Astyanax mexicanus: one gene and its partner. The protein of the gene in region 1 interacts with the protein of each later gene in a biochemical or structural test. Links are inferred from orthologs where the notes say so. Each region holds a gene or a part of one and is shown on either strand. Other genes may lie near its edges. The genes, in order: tdrd3 and top3b.

What was found.
Region 2: the proteins of tdrd3 (region 1) and top3b form a complex in vitro, tested with the Homo sapiens proteins (2 studies listed by BioGRID and IntAct, with this or other methods). The link is inferred for Astyanax mexicanus from reciprocal best matches to the Homo sapiens genes TDRD3 and TOP3B.

Annotation. Positions count from the first base shown.
Region 1 is NC_064423.1:31,790,211-31,801,370, forward strand, and holds the start of tdrd3 (tudor domain-containing protein 3), read right to left. Parts: upstream 4,425-11,160; 5' UTR 4,276-4,424; coding exon 4,238-4,275; intron 1,693-4,237; coding exon 1,605-1,692; intron 1,227-1,604; coding exon 1,161-1,226; intron 856-1,160; coding exon 695-855; intron 1-694. Other genes in the region: uncharacterized protein zgc:194981, read right to left, coding at 7,098-7,181, 7,280-7,393, 7,885-8,082. UniProt on the Homo sapiens protein: Scaffolding protein that specifically recognizes and binds dimethylarginine-containing proteins. Plays a role in the regulation of translation of target mRNAs by binding Arg/Gly-rich motifs (GAR) in dimethylarginine-containing proteins.
Region 2 is NC_064429.1:30,940,767-30,951,320, forward strand, and holds the start of top3b (DNA topoisomerase 3-beta-1), read left to right. Parts: upstream 1-5,671; 5' UTR 5,672-5,846; coding exon 5,847-5,916; intron 5,917-10,554. UniProt on the Homo sapiens protein: Releases the supercoiling and torsional tension of DNA introduced during the DNA replication and transcription by transiently cleaving and rejoining one strand of the DNA duplex.

The DNA of each region.
Region 1 (11,160 bases):
TCACCAGTGCACCCGATTTAACATCAATAAACACTGATTAAACAAACCAGGTGCTGCTGACATGATGATATTTAGTAATAATACTTGACGTCCATGAGCAGAACTTTGGAAATGTTTTATTGAACACATATAAAAAATCACAAATTTTGTATGAATGGTATTTGTGTTATTCTGATTAGTGTTTTACTAAGTATATATTATTAAAATTTTCAAGAGGTGGCAATATGAAGATATTTCATTATATCATGCTAAAATTCAGAAGTGTATCAACTATATATACCTATATAACTATATACTTTTGAGTATATACATTTTGAGGATATCAGGACTTACAGTACACTTTGTTACTTTCATTATTGAGAACATAAGTCCAGTTCAACTGGATGGATGGTGGTATATTTTGAGTAAAATTAATGGTAAATACATTAGAATAGTGTTTTAAAAGATGTATCACTACTAATGCATTTTACTGCAACCACATATATGTAAATAAATATTGTATAGTGTGAAATGGCTTTAAATATTGTGTTACGATAAAGATCTATATATACCATTTATCCAGCCCTTCAACCACAGACACAGATACACACAATCACAACTTTCAAAAGGTCAAAGTAAGTGTAAGACACAACTATCAGATATCCAGGATTTGCTGAAACGGATTATCTCTGGGATTATCTCAGAATGGTTTTACCTGATTTTTGACAGATGTTTAAATTCAAGCCCTGTGCACATGGTCTGCCCATCAGTCATCTGGAGGCGGAGCATTCGAGGTGCAGCCTGTGAGTCTTCATTTTCTTTTGGGGCGGAAACATTTCGAATCCTCTGGATTTGAAGGACACATGGCCCCTCCAACTGTGGAGAAAAAAATCATTATAGTTACTACAATTGTCCTACACAGGAATAATGCTGTTTTTGTGACTGAACAATTCAGACATTTCAGCTGTGTTTACAGTTTGTTTCTAAAACTAGAAAAAGAAGTTAAACAGGTTTCAATTAAAGACATTTATTTCCTGTAATTTTACACAATCAAACAGGGAGGAAAAATAGAGGCTTACACAAATCACCCAGTCTCTTTTAGTGCTTGACTTTATCCTTCCCTAAGAGTGTGCTTATAGAGTCATCCAGTGGCCAACATGTGAAAGTGCCTGTGAAATTACCTTCTCTACTCTGCCACTGTTGATGTCAGCAGGCAGAAAGCTCTTTCCAATAGGCCTCAGATCGCTCTGCAGAAAACAATCATAATGTATGTTTTTGGAAATTACATAATATATAAAAACATTTCCATAACAAACCGTACAGGTACACTTGTCACAATATATCTTGTCATACAATATGATATTTCAGAAATTAGTGGGATAAACAATGTTACTATAAACAGTCTTAAGCTACTAATATAATGATAATACCATAATAATACAATTACACAATACATAAAAAACAGCAAAAATAAAAATGCTTAAATATTCTTATTAAATAAAATACAAAAAAACACTGTTTAAAAACAAAGTCAACAAAGCAACTAATTCATGATAATGGGCTCTATGGCTATGTCCATATAATATTTAAGTTGATAACGGAATTATTGTAACAGGCCTACTTACATTTAATGCTACATTGATGATGTCAGTGACGGTCACTTTCTCTTTCTCCGAGCTTTTGCACTCTTCTATCCCTTCCTCTGTGAGATACCTAAATAAAAACGCATAAATTCAACTCACCAAAATTATATTTATGTATGCTGTGTTGCTAGACAAGGATTAATATCTCTAGGATTTATATATCTCAGAGTTGGGTAATCTGACAATATTTGATCGTATTGTGATACATTTTCTTACCACATTAACAATAAGCTCAGTGCAAATCACTGACCCAACTGTGCATTTAATTAAAGAGCATAGTTAATCCTGTTTAACTGGATGAATCGCAGTAAATATTTGGAAAAAAAAAAAATATATAGAACTTGTCTGAACAGTGTTTTTAAGGATCAGTCATTGACTGCATTGACTGTATTCACATGTATTAAAATAAATATTGATCATATATATATTGTGATGTAAGCTGTACTTTTAATATATTACGCCTGCATACACACAGATTTTTTTTAAGAGATGCTGCAGAAATGACCAATACATCCCCTGAGGCCTAAAGAGGGAGCAAATGAAATATGATATGATATATAAACTCCTAACATGGTTGAAGAAGACCAACATTTATAAAGCCAACAGTGCTAAAGACAGATTCAATGAAGGTTAACAAGTTTACAATTAAGATATATATATATATATATATATATATATAGAGAGAGAGATTTTTTTTTTATTATTTCAACCAGTTTCCAACTAAATGAATACTGAATGAATGCCCTGGACTTACTGTGACCTAGATTAGGTCCATTACTAAACATGCAAGCACAATTAGACAGAAGAACTCACATACTTTCTAATGGCACAAACTGATACGGTGCTAATCTACACTTTGTGTATTAGCATAGCACACAGAGAAAAGAGATATCACTTAATCTTTGCCTGTTGCAGGTGGATGGACTGCATTTTAGATAAGTGCCTTATATAAATTATGAAGAGCCACATTAATTACAGATCTATTTACACTTGCAGATACTTCATGAACAATTCATGAAGAACAGACATTTTGGGTTAATTTAGAAATATTTCCTTGTGTTAAACCGGTACCCCAGTTCTTCATGGGGAAAGGCACCATGCACTAATGTCTGCACTGGTATCTGTAAATAGATTTTTATGACTGGATAGCTATCATGCTTTCGTAAATGTTGTAAGCCTTTGTGTTGTAAGCCTTTGTAATGTTCCAGTTGCTGATACTCATAAGTTTGATGGTGATAAAGTTTGGATGACAGGGATGTTGGTGTCTCTTACATACAAACAACAGACGTGTCAGATGTCTATCTATGCAGTGTGTGATATGAAAGCCAATATGAATATAGCTCTGACTTTAACACAAATCACAGCCCAGGTCACACTTAAAAGGAGTGGCTGTAATGATATACAAAAAACACATTATCAGACACACTCTTTAAAATACGTTCATCAGCTTGGAGTCAGTGTAGGATACTGTTCAGAAAGTTCAGGTGGTGCCATTTAGGTTCATTTTAACAGGATTTACATTTTTGAAAAAAGATTTTAAAGATGGCAAAAATATCTATGTTCACAAAATGGCTCAAATAGGCCAGGGCGATATTGTAAGAATACATAAATACATTTTAAATGAAGGAACAATTCATTGAAACTGTGGGAAAAGTTTGTATCCCTAAATAAATGCAAAAAGACAACAATTGCTTTAACTAATAACACATAAAAAATGAATTTCCAAACACACACTTTAAAATATGCACATCAGCCTGAATGACACAGTGTAGGGTACTGTTCAGAAAGTTCAGGTAGGCCAGGTTCAGTTCAACAAGAATGAAATAAAGATTTTTAAATAAGGAAAAATAAGAAAATTTATGTTCATGAAATGGCTCAAATAGGGCTGGGCGATACTGTAAAATACATAAACAAATAAAAACTAAATGAACTATTAACTAATCTGTGGGAAAGGATTTTGTCCTTAAATATTATTTTTTTTGTACTTCAATACACCACAAAAACAAAAATACAACTTTAAATTGTAATTATAAGCTTTTATTTAGACTCAACCTTTCCCAGCATTAATGCATCACCATAAATCAGCCTGAAATTTAACTAGATAATGTAGCTAAAACCTATTCTGCAGTTATTTGTAGTTAGATGAGTTAGATATTTATTTAGATATCAGAATAGTGAATAAACACTGTGAATCATTATAAAATATGAACTACAGAGTCTGAAACAGATAAACCGCCAGCAGAAGCTGAACACTGTGGTGATACTTAACTAGCTGTTTAGCTAGGTTAGCTTAGCTTAGCTACTCCACAGCTAACGCTAGCTGAATTAAACATTTATTAGGAGCTCAGTAAGCGAATAATATAAATAATTAGCGCTAATTACAGAGTTTAAACAGGTGGTATCTACTGGTCTATAGATGTAAATACATTAATACGGCGTTAATGAACCGTTTTTTCTCAACCAGCAATAAAACACTGATAAACTCTGAAAGCTAGCATAGCTTAGCTAGCTTTAGCCTAGCCTAGCTCAGGTACCCTATTCGAAGCTCCGCCGCTAGCATTAGCTTAGCATCCCGCCAGCCCCAGCAGGCAGGCTAGCCCCGAGCCGCTACCCACCAGCCTTCTCTCCCGAGAGCCGCGCTCAGCTCAGACATCTTCCAGCGCGCGGTTAGACTGCAGCATGTGATTATCTGAGCCGCAGCCGCTTTTCCATGCTTTTCTCTCCGCTCTGCTTCTCTCCGCTCGGCTCTCCGCTAAAAACAGACCAGTCCCAAACTTACTCAGCGTCACAGGTCAGAGTTCAGAGCGGCTACGAGCAAAAACCGCGACCCGCTCCTAGGGCTAGTCGATAAAAGTCGATTTATTTTTTCGATACAGGTACCAATTCCCCCTTATTAATGAATATCTATATCGATTTATTTAACTAGAAGTATTATTTGCATCAGTACTAAATTATAATGACCACAATATGCCCTCTTTTTGGGCAAAAAGCTGGAATTTTGTTACTCTTTATTGCTCTCAAACTGTGGTACTAAATAAATACACAATGAGAAGGTAGAGGGTGTGTCCAGTCTTTTGACTGTTACTATATATACAGCTCTAAAAAAAAATAAGAGACCACTTAAAAATAATACGTTTCTTTGATTTAATCTAATTGAAAAATCGAGCTGAACTGCCTGAATGTTTGCACTGGTAGTGGCATTATGTTATCCAAAAGTAGTGTGTAAGACTGGTGGAGGAGAACATGTCACAAGATGCGTGAAAACTGTGATGAAAAAAAGGGTTTTCCACCAAATATTGATTTCTGATCTCTTAAAACTTTATGAATATGTTACATATAAATTTATAAAAATGTTTGCATTATTTGAGGCCTTAAAGCTCATAATCTTTTTTGTTATTTCAGCTGTTGCTAATTTTCTGCAAATAAATGCTCTAAATGACAATATTTTTATTTGGAATTTGTGAGAAATGTTGTCTAGCAAATCAGAGAATTCAGCGGCTGTACAGAAGTAGAGCTGACCTGCTAAAAGCATAAAAAAAGAAAGACAAAGCTGGTTCTTCTGTTTTTTGTTTATTGCAATTTTGCAACAATGATGGTCTTCAGCTGGCCAACAAAAAGAGTTCAGGCTTTTTATAATGACTCATTTGAAATACTTTAAATACATGAAATACTTAAATAGTAATAAAAACACATTATATCCACAATACATTCCAATACTTCCAACATAACATAAGGCAGGGGTGTCAAACTCATTTTGGCCGAGGGCCACATTGGCATATTGGCTGTCCTCCGAGGGCCAGATGTAACTTATAAATATAAGAAAATGTAACCAAATGTAATATATGTAAATGAATGTAATTACTCCTTAATGTTAAATAACTCTCAATATATTATTTATTCAATCAAATATTACAGTTGCATGGAAAAAATGTTTGCTTGTTGCTCTATTAACATAAATCCTGTTATGAAATCCAAAAACTCCATCAATCAAGAACGAAACTATACAAGTGAATAGAAATGACATAAAATACAAGTTATATTAACTTTGATCAAAACGTTTGATACTGAAAAGAGGCTTAATAAATATAAAATCAAAAATTGTGAGCTGTGACAGATTTAGCATTTCCTCATCCAACCACTAGTGGGAGCTGCAGCAGCACAAGCCCACAGTCTTTACTGAGTCAGAGCTACAGCCCGGCCACGGGCTACAGGGCTCAGCTGAGCCTGTCTGGAGCGTTTTTAAAATTTTAAGTTCTTCTGTGTATGAAATAAAATAACCCCACTAACCGGATAATACAGCTCTCTACAGTTCATATTTCAGCCCAAGCAGCTAACAGCAGCAGTTTAGAGCAGCCATCCCGGAGTCACTGCTCGGATTACATTATAAACAGGTCAGTTAGCGCGCTGCTAACCTCAGGATGTTTATAACTACGGAGTTTAGAACACACCACGGCTGCAAGGTTAGACTGTTGAAGGCTACTGGAGACTATTAAAGGCTATTGGAGGTTATTGAAAGGGTTATTGGGGCAGAAATCAGTAAAGGCTGGTTAGATAAGTGATTCACCTCCTCGTCCTTTGCTGAGGTGAAACTGCGACTAGCGATGTCACAGTGATGTTTATTAACCTCATTAAAACAGATTTTATCAGCTATTGTCTTATAAATATTTACACATAATTTATATCTCTTCTAAAAAGCGTTTATTTTGGTCAGTAACACAAAATGCATACCGGTCTTTCGCCTTGAAGCACAGCCGTCCGTCTGCATCAACTTTTCTTTTTCTGGATATTATGGGATAAACATGTCTCAATTCCACCCGCGAAGTTACACCTTCCCTCCGGCAGGGTTTCCACATCAATGACTACACTGCCGTGTAGTGGCAGTAAGCCGTAACTTTGCGGGTAATACAATCGACAAGCATTGTGGGAAATGTATTTTTTGGTCAAGGAACGCTTCTGACCTATTTATTATAGACACTAAGATTTTACAAGCTCTCGCGGGCCACATAAAAAGACGTGGCGGGCCACATTTGGCCCGCGGGCCTTGTGTTTGACACATGTGACATAAGGTCTACTTAAAGTGACAATCAAACAAGTTTCGGGGATTTGAAGACCTCTCTGGTGAAAAACTGTAATTGCACAAAGCATGGGGAAGAGTACTTTTAATGCAAATGAATAGAAATAAATTGTTGTGTGAAATTCTGCATTTTTTAAATACATTGTTTTGTTTATTTTATTCATTTATAAAATATTGCCAAAATGTAGAGATTACATCAATTACATCCAACAAACCTACCAGGCCACTCTGTGTTTAGAATGAATATATTAGACACTGCAAGGATGGTCATGACTGGAAGATAGAATATTATGTCCCCTCCTACCTCAGAAATATTACTGCTTGTAATTTAAAACAGAATAATCATACTGACTGCTGCTTTAATGTCTGATACTCAGAATAAATTACTGCAAACTTTTTAATCAGACACAGTGGTCTGACAGAAGACGGCTGGGCACCGTGTTCTCTCCTGGAACTGCCAGCACCACGAAGCTGCAGATCATAGTCTGTTAAAAGAGATATACATGAAGTAATTAACAAATTTTAGTTTATTAAAAAAATATAGACACAGGAGAATAGTGATTTATTTGGACAAGATTCTTGCCTGTGCGTTAGTCTTGAGGCTGCAGTCCTCCAGGCTCACTTTTCCATCGTTTCTGCAGTTTGTCTCGGCCACTCGCAGTTTGAGGGTGTATTTAACCCAAGTAGGAGGATAGAGCTAAGAAAAATATACAACAATAGAGGTCAAAACAAATTTTTCCAAATAAGTCCATAAATCACATACCTATTAAAACAGGAGGGCATCAAAGGAAAGTGTGTGAATGTGTGATCAATCCATTAAAATGGATTAAAAAAAAAAAATTCTAACTAAACTTGGACACAAACGAGTCTGTGATATATAACACATGTATACATTTATTAAATTAATATATTTTATTATAGTCACTATAGTTATCTACACTAGGTCATAATATTTGCAGTATTATGGTTTTAAAATTATTTAAAATAATTTATAACAATGTTGTTATTTTTGACTGTGAACACAGAACTAGTTAAGTTAAAAGGTTAAGGGTCACCATGTAAGGGTCACTAACCAATTTCAAATGTTCTTCACTTTCAAAACGTCTTTAAAATAGGTTCAGAACCAAATGGTTCTTCTAAGGATCTACTACCCTTTTCAACAGCTTTAATAGTTTTTAAATAACTTACCTCAGCACTGTCTGACATGATGTCCACTACTTTAAAGGCAGAGGCACAGTTACACATGCGATTGTGGGAGTCGATGGCAAAGCTGACTACTTTGGCTACAGTCGGGTCATGGACCACAACTGGGTCTTGAGTCGAGCTGCTTCCAGACACAACAGAAGACATGAGAACAGCAGCGAGGAGGCTCAGGGTGAATGCCATCTTGCTGGAATGCAGATCTGTGGATATAAATAAGACAAGTGCTCAGCTATGTTTGATACACTGCTGCTATACAGCTATATACAGTGTCCAGTTTAAAGCAGTGAAAAACAGCAAATGAGCACAATCAATGAACAGCAGCAGATTCCCCTCCTAACAGAGGCTGAGGCGGAATATGAGAAGACTCAATGCATCTTACCCTTTTAGTGGTTTCTCTTCTAATGCATCCTATACCTTTTATCTGCTGTGTTTTGAAATAACATACCCTCCCTTATACATTAACTCATTGATGTCCATTTCTAAAGTGTTACAAATACATTTGGTTGATGTGAGATAAAGTATGCAGAGAAATAGAACTACAGTCTGGTATTTGCCCCATTACAGATTTCTTTTGCTTTTTTGTCATACTTAAGACATACAAACTGAAGACAAATATAACCTGATTAAATACAGGTAAAAGAAGAAATCCTGAAGGAAAATGTCCTGCCATCAGTTTGTGGCTTTAAGCTCAGGTGTACTTGGGTTCTGCAGCAGGACAATGCAGCAGAATGCATACAGCATTCTGCCCCTTGTACTTCCTACTCAACTTATTCCTTACCTGCACTTACTCATAGTTATTCTGTCACCTTATGGACTATTTCCTCACTTCCACACACATCTACATAGCATCGTATATTACTTATTCAGTCTTACTTAAAATATTTCTGTGCAATATTTGTCTATAGTGTAAGTTATTATGTGTATTGTTATTGAGTGTACTTTGTATATTGTTTATACTGTAAAGGTATCTGTATATCTGATTTTATATTATATTTTATTTTATTCTTCTTTTTGTAAATATTGTTCTCTGCACACTGGTGGGAATCTGCACCCAAGTTTTTCACTCACATGCACACCTTTACTCTGTGATGTGACAGAAAAATATCTTTAATCTTGAATCTTTAAGCTTAAATGATCCAAACACACCAGCAAGTCCACCTCGGTAAAAAAACAAAATAAAGGCCTTAAACAGGATTTTTTTTTTGTAAAAACGAAGTTATTAGTTTTAAGGGGCAAATACTTTTTCTCTCAAGACATTAAATTAACATTATCAACTGTTTTTTATATTTATATTTGTCTGATGTTAAAATGTGTTTGTTTATCTAAAAAATTTAAGTATGATACAAAATAAAAAACAAAGAAAACTGTAGGGGGGGACTTCACAGCACTGTATATGCATGATCAAACCGGATAAAAAAAATCATGACTGTCATCACAAAGTTGGTCAACCAGCATGACCAGCATTTTCTCAGCATAACCAGCATCAAATGATAGGGTAAGGGGTATAGAGTTTTTTTTTTTGTCAGAATTAGCAATTTTACCATCTTTACCATAAAGGCTTGAACAGTTTTTACCATCTAAAACCATATAGTAGTAAAAGCCAGTCTTGAGCTGGATTTATTAGCAGAGTTATTGAGAATTAAAGGTTTAGTTTGCTGTGAAGGCAGGCTGTAGATGAGATCTGATATAATAACAGTAATGGAGCTCCTTTGCTGCTCTTACTCACCTCCTCCTTCTCTTCCTCCTCTTCCTCAGAGCTGCAGCAGATCCAGCGGTTGAGGGACGCTGCTGTGGGTCAGCGCTGCTGCATTCTGCTGATACAGGTACTCAGTCTGTGGTGGTCTTAGGTTCTGATCAGCAGCTCCGGGGTCTGGTCAGGACTTGTACAGTAAATATCCTTAACCTGACCGATCCCTCCGCTTTGCTTACATTGCTGCTGCTTGCTTTATTCAGCACAGTATCCTGATCACCTGACGGGGGCGTGTCCTTCAGCAGGATCCTGCATCGTTCCAGTCAAAAGTTTGGTCACACCTAAAATTCAGTGTTTTTTTAAACACTGTAAAAATTTTCTGCATTTTAGATTAATACTGAAATCATGAAAAACTATAAATAAAAACGTATGGAAATATTTATTTAACAAAAAAAGTATTAAACTAACCAAAATATGTTTAATATTTTAGATTCTTCAAAGTAGGCAACTCTTGCTAAGATGACACCCAGCTGTTTCAACGTTGAATCAACGTAATTTATAATTGCATAAATATTTAGTAATGCAAAATCAAAAATTAGTCTGCTGAAGAAAGCAAGACTTTAATGAACAAATGAAGTTACACATATCTAGAAACCCAAGGAGATTTTACAATCACGTTTTTACACAAAACCATCATCCACACACCAGTGCAAAGCCACAGCCAATAGCCCACAGCGTACTCTCAACCGAAAACAACCGTCCACCTGGAGGACTGCATCGGGCACTACAGCATTATTTTATTATACATTCACACACACAATCTTACATACATATCTAACACATACATACCAGATCAATTTAAGCCCTATCCGGACGGGATTAGTTTCTCAAGAGGACGTCTGTGAAAAATATTTCCCACTTCTACTCAGTGATAAAACTCTTGCAAATTGCAGACTGCAATTTTAAAAACAGGAGGACCAGTGACTTTTTTATTGGCTTTCCACTTGCTGTTGTGTTTGCGTGGATCTCTGTGGAAATGCATGCCCAAAGTATAATTACGGTGCGTGGCAGTGGACAAATAGCTACTTTATTAAACGAGAGGTGATGAAACTCAGAGATGTCAGTCCGAACGGGACTAAAATTACCGGAGGACCACAGAGTTTAGCAAAAAACAGTAGGTAATTCAGCCTGTAATTTTCTCAGAGAACGTCTGGGAAAAACACATACATGGTCGTTCCAGGCGGAAATAAAATCATCAATGACCCTCTATAGAAGAGAAAATTACCCCAGGAGCCCCTGAGAAACTAATTCTGTCCAGTAAGGCTTTAGAGCGTTAAACTATTGGGGGTAATTTTAGAGTATACAATTTTACCTGATCTCCATGTTTTGGACTGTGGGAAGTAGGGGTGGGCGATATGGCTCTAAAATCATTTCACGATATTTTAGGGTATTTTTGCGATAACGATATACTTGGCGATATAGGAAAACTAAAATAATTAATTCATTTCAGGAATATAGTATAATAGTATAACAGTATAATCATAATCACAGACAAACCAAGTCTCCCTGAA
Region 2 (10,554 bases), on another chromosome or scaffold:
AAAGAATGAGCAATTAACAGCAAGAGACAGAGGCAGAAGGAGAGAAGGAAAGAGAAAACTAGAGAATTATATGGAGGAGGGATAGAGTGAAAAAGGGAAGAAATAGTTATAAAGAGCGAGACAAAGATAGGAGATTACACAGAAAGAGAGAGAAACCTTGGTGAGGTGAGACAGAAAGAGGAACAGAATTAAGAGAAACAGAGTGAGAGAGAGAGAAAGAGAGAGAGAAAGAGAGGCAGAGAGAGGGAGGGACAAAATGAGGCAAGGAATGTTGAGATAGAACAAGGAAAGAACGAGAGAGATTAGGGGAAGAGAAATACAGAGAAAACAGAAAAACGAGAGGTGGGACATAGAGAGGGACAAATAAGTAGAATGAGTGTGTGTGCGTGTCTGTGAGAGAGAGAGAGAGAGAGAGAGAGAGGTGGGACAGAGTGAGGAAAAGAATGCAGAGAAACCGAGAGACACCGACAGAAACAAACGAGTGGAGAAAAGGTGAGAAATGGAGGGAGAGAATGGAGAGTAAGATAGATGGCAGGGGTAGAGTGAGGGAGAGAATGGAGAGAAAAGAGAGAGTGAATGAAAAAGAAAGAAGAATGCAAAATAGATAGAGCAGTAGGAAAAGAGTAGTGAAAAAATGAGAGAAAGTAAAAAAATTAAAAGAAAAAGCAAAAGAGGGTGAACAGAGATATGGTGTGTGAAAGAAAGAGAGCATGAGAGAGCATTAAAGAGAGCATGAAAGATAGAAAGAGGACAGATGAAGATAAAGAGAGAGATGTGGAGATAAAAGAGAAACAAACACTGAGAAAGACAGACAAAATAAAAAAAGGAGAACACTGAGAAATAGAGAAAAAGCAGCTGATGAAAAATATGAATGAAAGAAAGAAATAGATAGTGTGGAAAGAGTGAGATATAAGAAAAGGAAGGATAATGCAGAGGGAAATGAAAAGAAGGAGAGAGAGAGAGAGAAAAGGAGAGGGAGAGAGAGAGAGAGAGAGAGAGAGAGGTAGTTCTGTTGCCTCCGTCTGTCGTCGTTTGGATACCTCTGACAAAGCATATTTTCCGCTACACAGGTCCTATTATTCTCACACACACACACACACACACAGTCATGTGACAGCTGGGTATTGCTTTGATTTCTAATTGTGTAATTCTGTTATTTATCTATTTTTCAGATCCTCTCTTTTTCGTTTCCACACACTCATCCCTGTTCATTTCAGAGCACTGAGCCCACCTGTGCTGAGGATGCTCTCGCACTGTCTCTGTGGTGTGTGAGGTGTGTATGAGTTGCGCATCAGCGTGGAATACTGATGAACCGCAGGCCATAGATCAGTCACTTACACTAACCATGACTCACCTCCACCTCCACCACCGTGCTCTTTCTCTCTCTTTCTTTCTCCTTCTCTTTCTCACTGCTTTAAATTGGTAGAGAAGCTTAACACATTAACATTTTACAAGGTTTAAATGTTCTTCTTTACTATATTATTTTATTTTAAAAGTGTAGCAGTCAAGCAGTTTGTTGGTTCAGCAAGGTCAGTATAATGCTTTGTCTTGCCATATAAGGCAGAATTCGAAAATAATAAAAGAAAAGTGTAAATTGTTTTATTATTTTCATTATTTTATTTTTATTTAGCAAAAATCTTTAAAAAAAAAATCTTATCCATATTTTAAGACTTCTAGTTTTTATTTCTGTCTTTCACAGTCTGAACTTCAATTAACGTAAATAACTATAAGACGATTTTCTTATTGGCTTGTCCTTTACTGTGTTTTCAGAATGATAATACTTTTACATCAAATACTATATATCTCAGACAAAAACAATCAATATTTTACTAATTTAAACATTGAAACAATTAAGATGAATCCTTACTATTATTCAAATTCAAATTTCATTATGTAACAATGAAAGCACCTGTACTGCTTTGCTGTAGCTTACACATGCTGAATGTATTTAAAAGCTTCAGTGCAGTTCTTTACAGTATTTAGAAGGGCTGGACAACTCATACAGCTCTGTAAAAATTTAAGAGACCACTTAAAAATGATGAGTTTCTTTGATTTTACCAAATTAAAATCCTCTGGAATATAATAAAGATCAAGATGGATGATCACAAGCCATCAAACCAAGCTGGACCGCTTGAATTTTTGCACCAGGAGTGAAGGCATAAAGTTATCCAAAAGCAGTGTGTAAGACTGGTGGAGGAGAACATGATGCCAAGATGCACGAAAACTGTGATTAAAACCAGTGTTATTCCATTAAATATTGATTTCTGTACTCTTAAAACTTGTTTTCTTTGCATTATTTAAGGACTGAAAGCTCTGCATCTTTTTGTTATTTCAACCATTTCCCATTTTCTGTAAATAAATGCTCTAAACGACTTTTTTATTTGAAATTTGGGAGAAATGTTGTACATAGTTAATAGAATAAAACCACAATGGTAATTTTACTCAAACATATGACTATAAAAACTAAATCAGAGAAACTGATTCAGAAACTGAAGTGGTCTCTTAGTTATTTCCAGAGCTATATATAATTTCAGCAGTAATTTTGCAATGTGTGCATGCACAGTAGAGCAGGATGTCCAATGACATTCAAACAAATTATATCATACTCATTATGCTGAAAATTTACTACTTTTCATGATACATGTAAATTAGAGGCAGAATATACAGTATCTGCCTGATATAATTTATGTTACTAATCTTTAATATACAGAGTGCATTTTTATCATTTCATGTTGGATCAGGAGAATCTGATATAAATTTCTGTATTTTCAAAATAGTATAATTTTTTTAGTGTACCAGTCAACAGTTTGGACACACCTCTTTTCATTCAATGCGTTTTCTTACTTTTTATGATTTTTTTACTTTGTAAATTTAATACTGAAGACTACATATTTATTTATATTTATCTTTGAGTTCAGATCTGCGCACCCTTGGTATTTTAATCTCAGTTTCTTCATGAGGGAGAATCACCTGGAATAGTTTTCTCAGCACCTTGAAGGAAGGAGTTCCTGGAGGTGCTGAACAATAGTTGCTGCTTTTCCTTCACGCTGTGAAGCTCCAGCTCATCTCAACTCAATCACCTCAAATCACCATCGCTGATCATCAGGTTTAGATCAGGGGATTAATGTGGAGTAATAACACCTTTTTATTGTTTACTACATAATTCTATATGTGTCCCTTAATTGTTTTCATGTCTTTAATATTAATCTACAATGTGAGAAATAAATAAAAAGCAAGAAAACACATTGAACGAGAGAAGAGGTGTCCACGGTTTTGACTGGTACTGTAGTTACAGCTCTAGAAAAAAAATAAGATACCACTTCAGTTTTTGAATCAGTTTCTCCCATTTAACTGTTCATATTTATATGTTTAAGTATAATGATCATTGTTGTTTTATTCTATAAACTGCAGACAACATTTCCCCCAAATTCCAAATAAAAAATAGTCATTTAGAGCATTTATTTGCAGAAAATGAGAAATGGTCAAATTAACAAAAAAAGATGCAGAGCTTTCAGACCTCAAATAATGCAAAGAAAACAAGTTCATATTCATAAAGTTTTAAGAGTTCAGAAATCAATATTTGGTGGATTAACCCTTGTTTTTAATCACAGTTTTCATGCATCTTGGCATGTTCTCCTCCACCAGTCTTACACACTGCTTTTGGATAACTTTTGCCTTTACTCCTGGTGCAAAAATTCAAGCAGTTCAGCTTGGTTAGAGGACTGTGATCATCCATCTTCCTCTTAATTATATTCCAGAGATTTTTAATTTGGTAAAATCAAAGAAACCCCTCTTTTTTTTTTTTTTTTTTTTGCAGAGCTGTATATTTCAAATTTCCAATTTTGTGCATCACTAATATTTAATTAGGTATTTATTGTAGATACTATTTTTTCCCTGTATTGTGTTTCCTGTTTCTAAAAAACTATATAACTAATTTATATTTCTTCTACTTGAGTCATTTCATTTTCTGATATACAGGCCTACTTTATGAGCCTTTTATTAGCTAAAATACAGAACACAAAAATAATTAATTACTGAATATCTGGAAATAACTTAAGATTATTGACTGAAGTGCATTTAAAAGCAGTAAAAAGGTAAGTATGCCTAAATCAGATAACACTAAAAGTTAACAAATTAAACTACTAGCTGGAACCTCATTAGCAATTTAAGCTAAATTAGGCTAACGATACAACCACGGATTTCACGAGTTTTATAAGTTTGTGCAGATATGTTTAGTTTTAAACTGTTTTACCTGTCGTATAGGTAATAATAGAAACTTAAATTCAATATTAAAATAGATAAATTCAGTGTAATTTAGCAATTTACTTGTTTTATCTAAAAATAACAGTTAACGTTAGCTGACTAGCTAGCTAACCTAGAGAGTATAGTTACTGTTTGTTTAGCTAAGTATCTCAGATTAGCCTTTTACCAACGCCATTTACCAAGTTAAAAGCCACCTTAAGCCACACAGAGCGGCAGGAAAATTAGTGTAAGGTGTTTAAGGTAAAATAAGTGTGTTAAATTGAATTAAATATGTAGTTTATGTGTTTTTTATGTGTTGTGTTTTGCTGTGGTACCCGTGGTTTGCCGACACTCCGCTGTTCAGGTTTCTGAGAGGATATGCAGTCAGCGCTGAGACCGGTACCGTGCTGCCACCTATCGGCGGCAACCCGCCACCGCCACTCTCCGTATAAAGCGGTTTGATTGGCCCCTGATGAGCCTTTATAAATAATAATATAATATTAAAATATTTTACAAAATATCATTGCATGGATAATTCTCAAAAAACTTTGCGACCATTACAATGGACATTACATATTTTAAAGATGTTTTGTTGCACACAACACTAATTGAGACATATTGTTCATCCGTATAGACCATCAACCAGCCAATAAAAAAAGTTTATAAGACAATTAAACAGTAGCCAACTGCACAAAAGAAACACGCAGACATTATGGCATGACAGCTCTGTCTTTGATTATTTTATGTGATTTATAGCTCTTTTTATTTAGGATTAGGGATGGTTTTTAAAATAAACGGTTTATCATTTTCACATATCAAATAAAATGTTAAGCACAGGACTCCAGTGCAAAAGGCATTAAAAAAGCAATAAAATATTTAGTTAATTGGGTTTAATATTTAAATACAGTTTATTTGAGGATATTAGAGACTTCTTTTGGGTTTATCACAGGCAAAAAATAGCATACTTACATTTTTCCATCACTTAATCATAATTCAAGTCTGAAAGGGTTTAACCTTTTAAAACTTTATTATTATTATTATTATTATTATTATTATAGTTTTGCAAATACATACACAACCTGAAGAGAAATAGGAATGATAAAATAATAAACAATTTAATTGTTTTTTGTAAATTAGTCATTTGTACATACTCATTCTACCAATACATTAATTATTATTATTATTATTATTATTATTATTATTATAAAAAAATGGAAAAAAAAATAGTTCAACAAATAATGTAATTATATACATTTTTAAAACATTTGTCCTTACATATTCACAATGAAAGAAAAAAAAATCCATTCCCATCCTTCAGTCTCTTCAGTGGTCTACATTCATACATACTACTCCTACTACTACTATTAAAAACAAAAAAAATGTAATGTGTAATTTAAACAACTCACTAAAACTTTTATTTTGTTACGCCGTAACCCGGATGTTGAAAGTCTTGCTCTGGGCGTCACTAGGCTGCAGTTTGGCTCTTTGTAGAGAATGTTTATTATATTAATATAGTTTATTATTTTTGGGAGAAAGCAGCTGGTTGTGTTCAATTAACAATAATTATATAATTACGCGGGAAAAGCAGCAGCAGCAGCGCAGAGATGAGGACGGTACTGATGGTGGCTGAGAAGCCCTCCCTGGCTCAGTCAATAGCCAAGATCCTTTCTAAAGGTAAAGAAATATAACATAGAGCTATCGCAGTTATTATAGATAGGTTAGATAACGTTAATTATTCAGTATTTTACTCACAGGAAGGGTTTTCTACAGCGGGAAGACACCAGAATCTTCCAGAAAGCGGACTAAGCTTTGTTTGAACATGGTTTAACAGATTTATTTAAAGTTATTTAACTAGCTAGTATTCCTAGTTTTTAACTAAGTTAGCTTGCCAGCTATAACTTCTCTAGTTAGCTAGCTAACTTAACGTTACCCTCTTTTCTAAATACGTTTTACTAAATTATACATTTACGGGCAATATTATATAATGTACAATATATTGTGATACAAAAATATCGTGATATTCTGTGTCTTAAAAGTAGTCTATTATTTACTGTGAAGCTTTAGGTGTAACGTTATTTATTGTATAATTGTTTTAGTTTGCAGTTTATATGCATGCACTAAATGTTCTGCAATATTATTTGCTGAATTATATTATTTTATGCTATATTATTTATTTTACCACATTATGATTATTCTGTTATACTCTTATATACTATATTCCTGAAATGAATTAATTATTTTTCTGTTTTCCTATATCTCCAAGTATATCGTTATCGCAAAAATACCCTGAAATATCGTGATATTATTTTAGAGCCATATCGCCCACCCCTAACGGGCAATATAGTTTATTTATGTTTTTTTTTCCTCATCTTATCAATGACCTAATTACTGCTCTTTACCTGTCAGACCTCTAATTCAACTTAGTCCAGTCATGTTAATCAGAGCTAAAGTCTAAAGCTGTTTCCATGTGGGTCAGCCAGACGTCTCCCTGAGTTTTTTGAAGGTGTAGAAAACAGTACTTACCGCTCTCTGGCTTCATCTGTAATTTCTCTAAAGAAAAAATTAACCAGTTGTTTGCTAAAATAACCTCCTCTTTTTAAAAAAATATATCATTTTTACAATACTCATTTTTTTAGTTAATTTGATTTACACATTTTTTTAGCATTGTTTGACATTTAAAAGTTAATAGCTCTTTTTACATTGTCATGCTATTATTTTTATTTAATTTATCACAATTATCTCTTGAACAATATATTGTCAAGACAAAAAGTTAATCTGACAGGCTTATGTAGTTCTAGTAGTATAAACATTTCTTTATAGATTCTTGATAGTTATGGGAAAAAAAGTACAAAAAAAATAAATAAATCTTATTAAGAATTTGTAATAAACTCTTTATTCATTAATATTTTCAAGCTTTCTGCAGGGTATCACTGAACTGACACAAGCATTCCGGATGGTGTTGATTGTGAAAATAAATAGGTAGATCTGAAACAGCTGGTTGTTGGTGCAGGGAACATGAACAGCAACAGAAATGTCTAATAGTAACTATAAATAATAAATAATTATAATAAGTAATAATAAGCTAACAGGCAGTTTTTATTAGGCTAGTTTTTTCTGGATGTGGCACATATACAGGCAACGGTAATTGACTCAAACTCAATGGAGTAGAACGGGCATCCTGTGTGCTTCCGGAGAACAGGCATTCTAAAAGACAGGGGGACGCTCTCCACGCTGGACGTGCTGTCCACCCCGTTACAGGAGTGAGTTGTGAGGCATCGAGCTTCATAGATGACCTGAGGCACCCGGTTCACGTCTGTATTCACTTCCCTATAAATCAAAAACACAAAACAGTAGAAGCAGTCAGAGTGTTTTATACTGCATTATACTGTATGTCCAATAGTTTGTGGACACTCCTTCTAGTGAATGCATTCAGCTCTATGGTGGATCTTGGATTTTTCTGGGGCCACAATATTTATAGAGGGGCCAAGTATTATTTCATCAGTCACATCATGTTCAAACACTTATTTTAAAAAATCTATGGAGTTAATTTTGTGCCAAAAGATTTACATAAAAAAATAAATTAAAAAGTGTATTCTGCAAATTCAAAACATAAAAATATATTTCTAAATATAATTGGTTACTTTATTAGTCTTTGCAGTCATTTGAAAGTTATTTGTGTTTGAATTTTGACAGTTTTTGCTTTTATTTTTGTGTTTTTGTGGAATTTGCAGATAATGTCTTCTGCTTCATTTTTTGCTCATATATATATATATATATATATATACATATATATATATATATATGTATATATATATATATATATAATCTACTATTTTAATTTTAAAATATTTTTGAGTAAAACATTCAGCACAAAATTAGCTCCATAAAATTTGCTTCCCAATTTTACAGAATATTTTTCTGTGCATAAAACAAATGAGTGACAGGACAGGGACCACTATAGGGGACCAATCACCTCTAGTGATTCAGCTACTTTAAGATGCGCAAATTGCTCACACAGACATACACTTTTGAGATGCTGACGATAGAATAGAATCTCTAGAGCAGATAAACATGAACCATGAGCCAGGCGTTGGCTAGAGTGTGTAATGCCTACAGCATTGATCTGTGAAGCAGTGGAACTGTGTTCGAGTGGGTGAAACTGGAGGGAAAGTGCACTAGTGTTGCACTGCTCACTATTTACTATATTCTGTGCATCCCTACTCTAAAAGTGGTTGTACAAGCTACTGTATCTATAATTATGTTACAGAATTTATTAACCAGTATGTTTTAGGGATAAGATTAAAAATGCATAGCTAGCAGCTAATAAAGTCAGACTGTAATTCTAATACTCACACATATTCCCATGCAGCCAGGCTGCGCTCATTGAGTCTGTTGGGCTGGTAGGTAACTTCAGCATCGTATTTCTCCAGACTGTTCAGATTGACGATACTGATGGAGGAGAAGCCCGGCTGCATTGCACACTGTTCCCCGATGGGACTGCACTGACTCGGGTTTAACACCAGAAGAGTCAGGGTGAGAAAACCCAGGAGCTGAGAGAGAGAGAAAGAGAGAGAGAAAGAGAGAGAGAGAGAGAGAGAGAGAGAGAGACAAAAAAAGAAACACTGTGAGGTTGCAGATAACAATAATTCCTAGATTTCATAATCATAAAATTATATATCATTCTGTTGGTATTCATTTTTTGGCTAACATTTAGCCTGAGATAGGTGTTCAATCATTAACGTTACCTTAGCTTTAACCTTATAGGCACAGCTTTTGATAATAATATCACATCAAGTTCTTTAAGTGATGCCATAAAAACACCAAAATTAAAATTGAACAAAATGCAACATTTGACTTTCATTATATTTGTCAGTTTTTCCACAATGTTCTAAAACAGCCTAAAACTGAACTGCCTAAATGTGTCAGCATTGCCGAGTAGCATCACATGGCGTTCAGAGGAAAGCGCATTGACTTGGTTCTGATACATCAGCTCACAGATGCAGCCTTGTGCTAAACAACATCACCCTTTGAAGTGATGAGGGGAAAGAGCACCAACTACTGTACACACCAAGAGAGAGCAAAGCCAGTTGTGCTCTCTCAGGGCACAACACAAGACTATGGCAAGCTACATGAACTGGATTTAAACCAGCGATCTCCTGATCATAGTGGCAGGCTATTTTATTATATATTTATCCCAGCAGTACAATTTAGTCACAAGTTTACCTCAGTAGAAATTGATCTCTGTGCTACTCAAGTCAGATTTCTATGACATCTAAAGCCAATTTACTCAGCTATGATTACTACCCTAACATACAGTTTGTATAGAGGTAGTTACTTGTGCAAACTGAAATTGATGAAATTTGAAGCCTAATATGTGATGCTGAGAACTCCTTTTTGTCTCCATTCATGTGAGTACAGTATAAAAATGAACTTAAAGCAGCAGTTTTTTTTTGGCTCTCTCTGTCTGCTCTCTCCCACACTCCTGCATTGTATGTCACAGCACTCTGACAAGCAGTAGTAGCGCAGAGAGAGGTCTGCGGGGACCTTGTGCTGGAGTAAAAAAAAAAAAAAAAAAGTTTGAAGGGTCTAAAGCACCTTGAAAGTTCAATTTAAATCTAAACTATCCTGCATACCAAATTGTATTTATGTATTTATAACACTTTCTCTTAATTAAGTTCTCATAACTAATTTTAGATGTCTACATATTTTTAATCATAATCTGTAACCCCATCTTCTGGACCAGAGGTGTCAGTGTCCCGTCCTGGAGAATACAGCAGTTTGAAGTTTAACCCTAAGTTAAATTTAGTGCATATAAAGATCATAAAAAAAACACTAATTTCCATTACCTCAGTACCTCAGGCACCCAGAGGGAGCACTCTGCGAAAGACTGACCTGTAGCTGTTGCATACTGTTGGGTAGTGTAGCTGCAGATAGCGGTGGAGCAGGTAATGAGCAGGCAGGAGGGCAGCTGGTGGATGAAGCTGGTGAGGTGTCCTCCTCCTTCTCCTGAGCCTGTATTTATTCACCTGAGCTGAAGAGTGGGGGCATATGGCGTCGCTCTGTTACCCCAGTACCAATACGTCATGTCACAGCCCCCCACCCCTCGCAATTATCCCTCATGTGCAAATGAAAGCACGACCTTGGGTGACATGGCCGTCACTAGTCAACCAGCAACCACCAGCCATCGTCATTCACCTCTTGAGTTTAGAGTAGAGGAAGGGAGTAAGTGAGGGAGGTGGGGATGGATAAAATGTGAATGGATGGGAAGGATGCATAAGCAGATTCCTAATCGTCCTCCTGCTGCACTTTCAC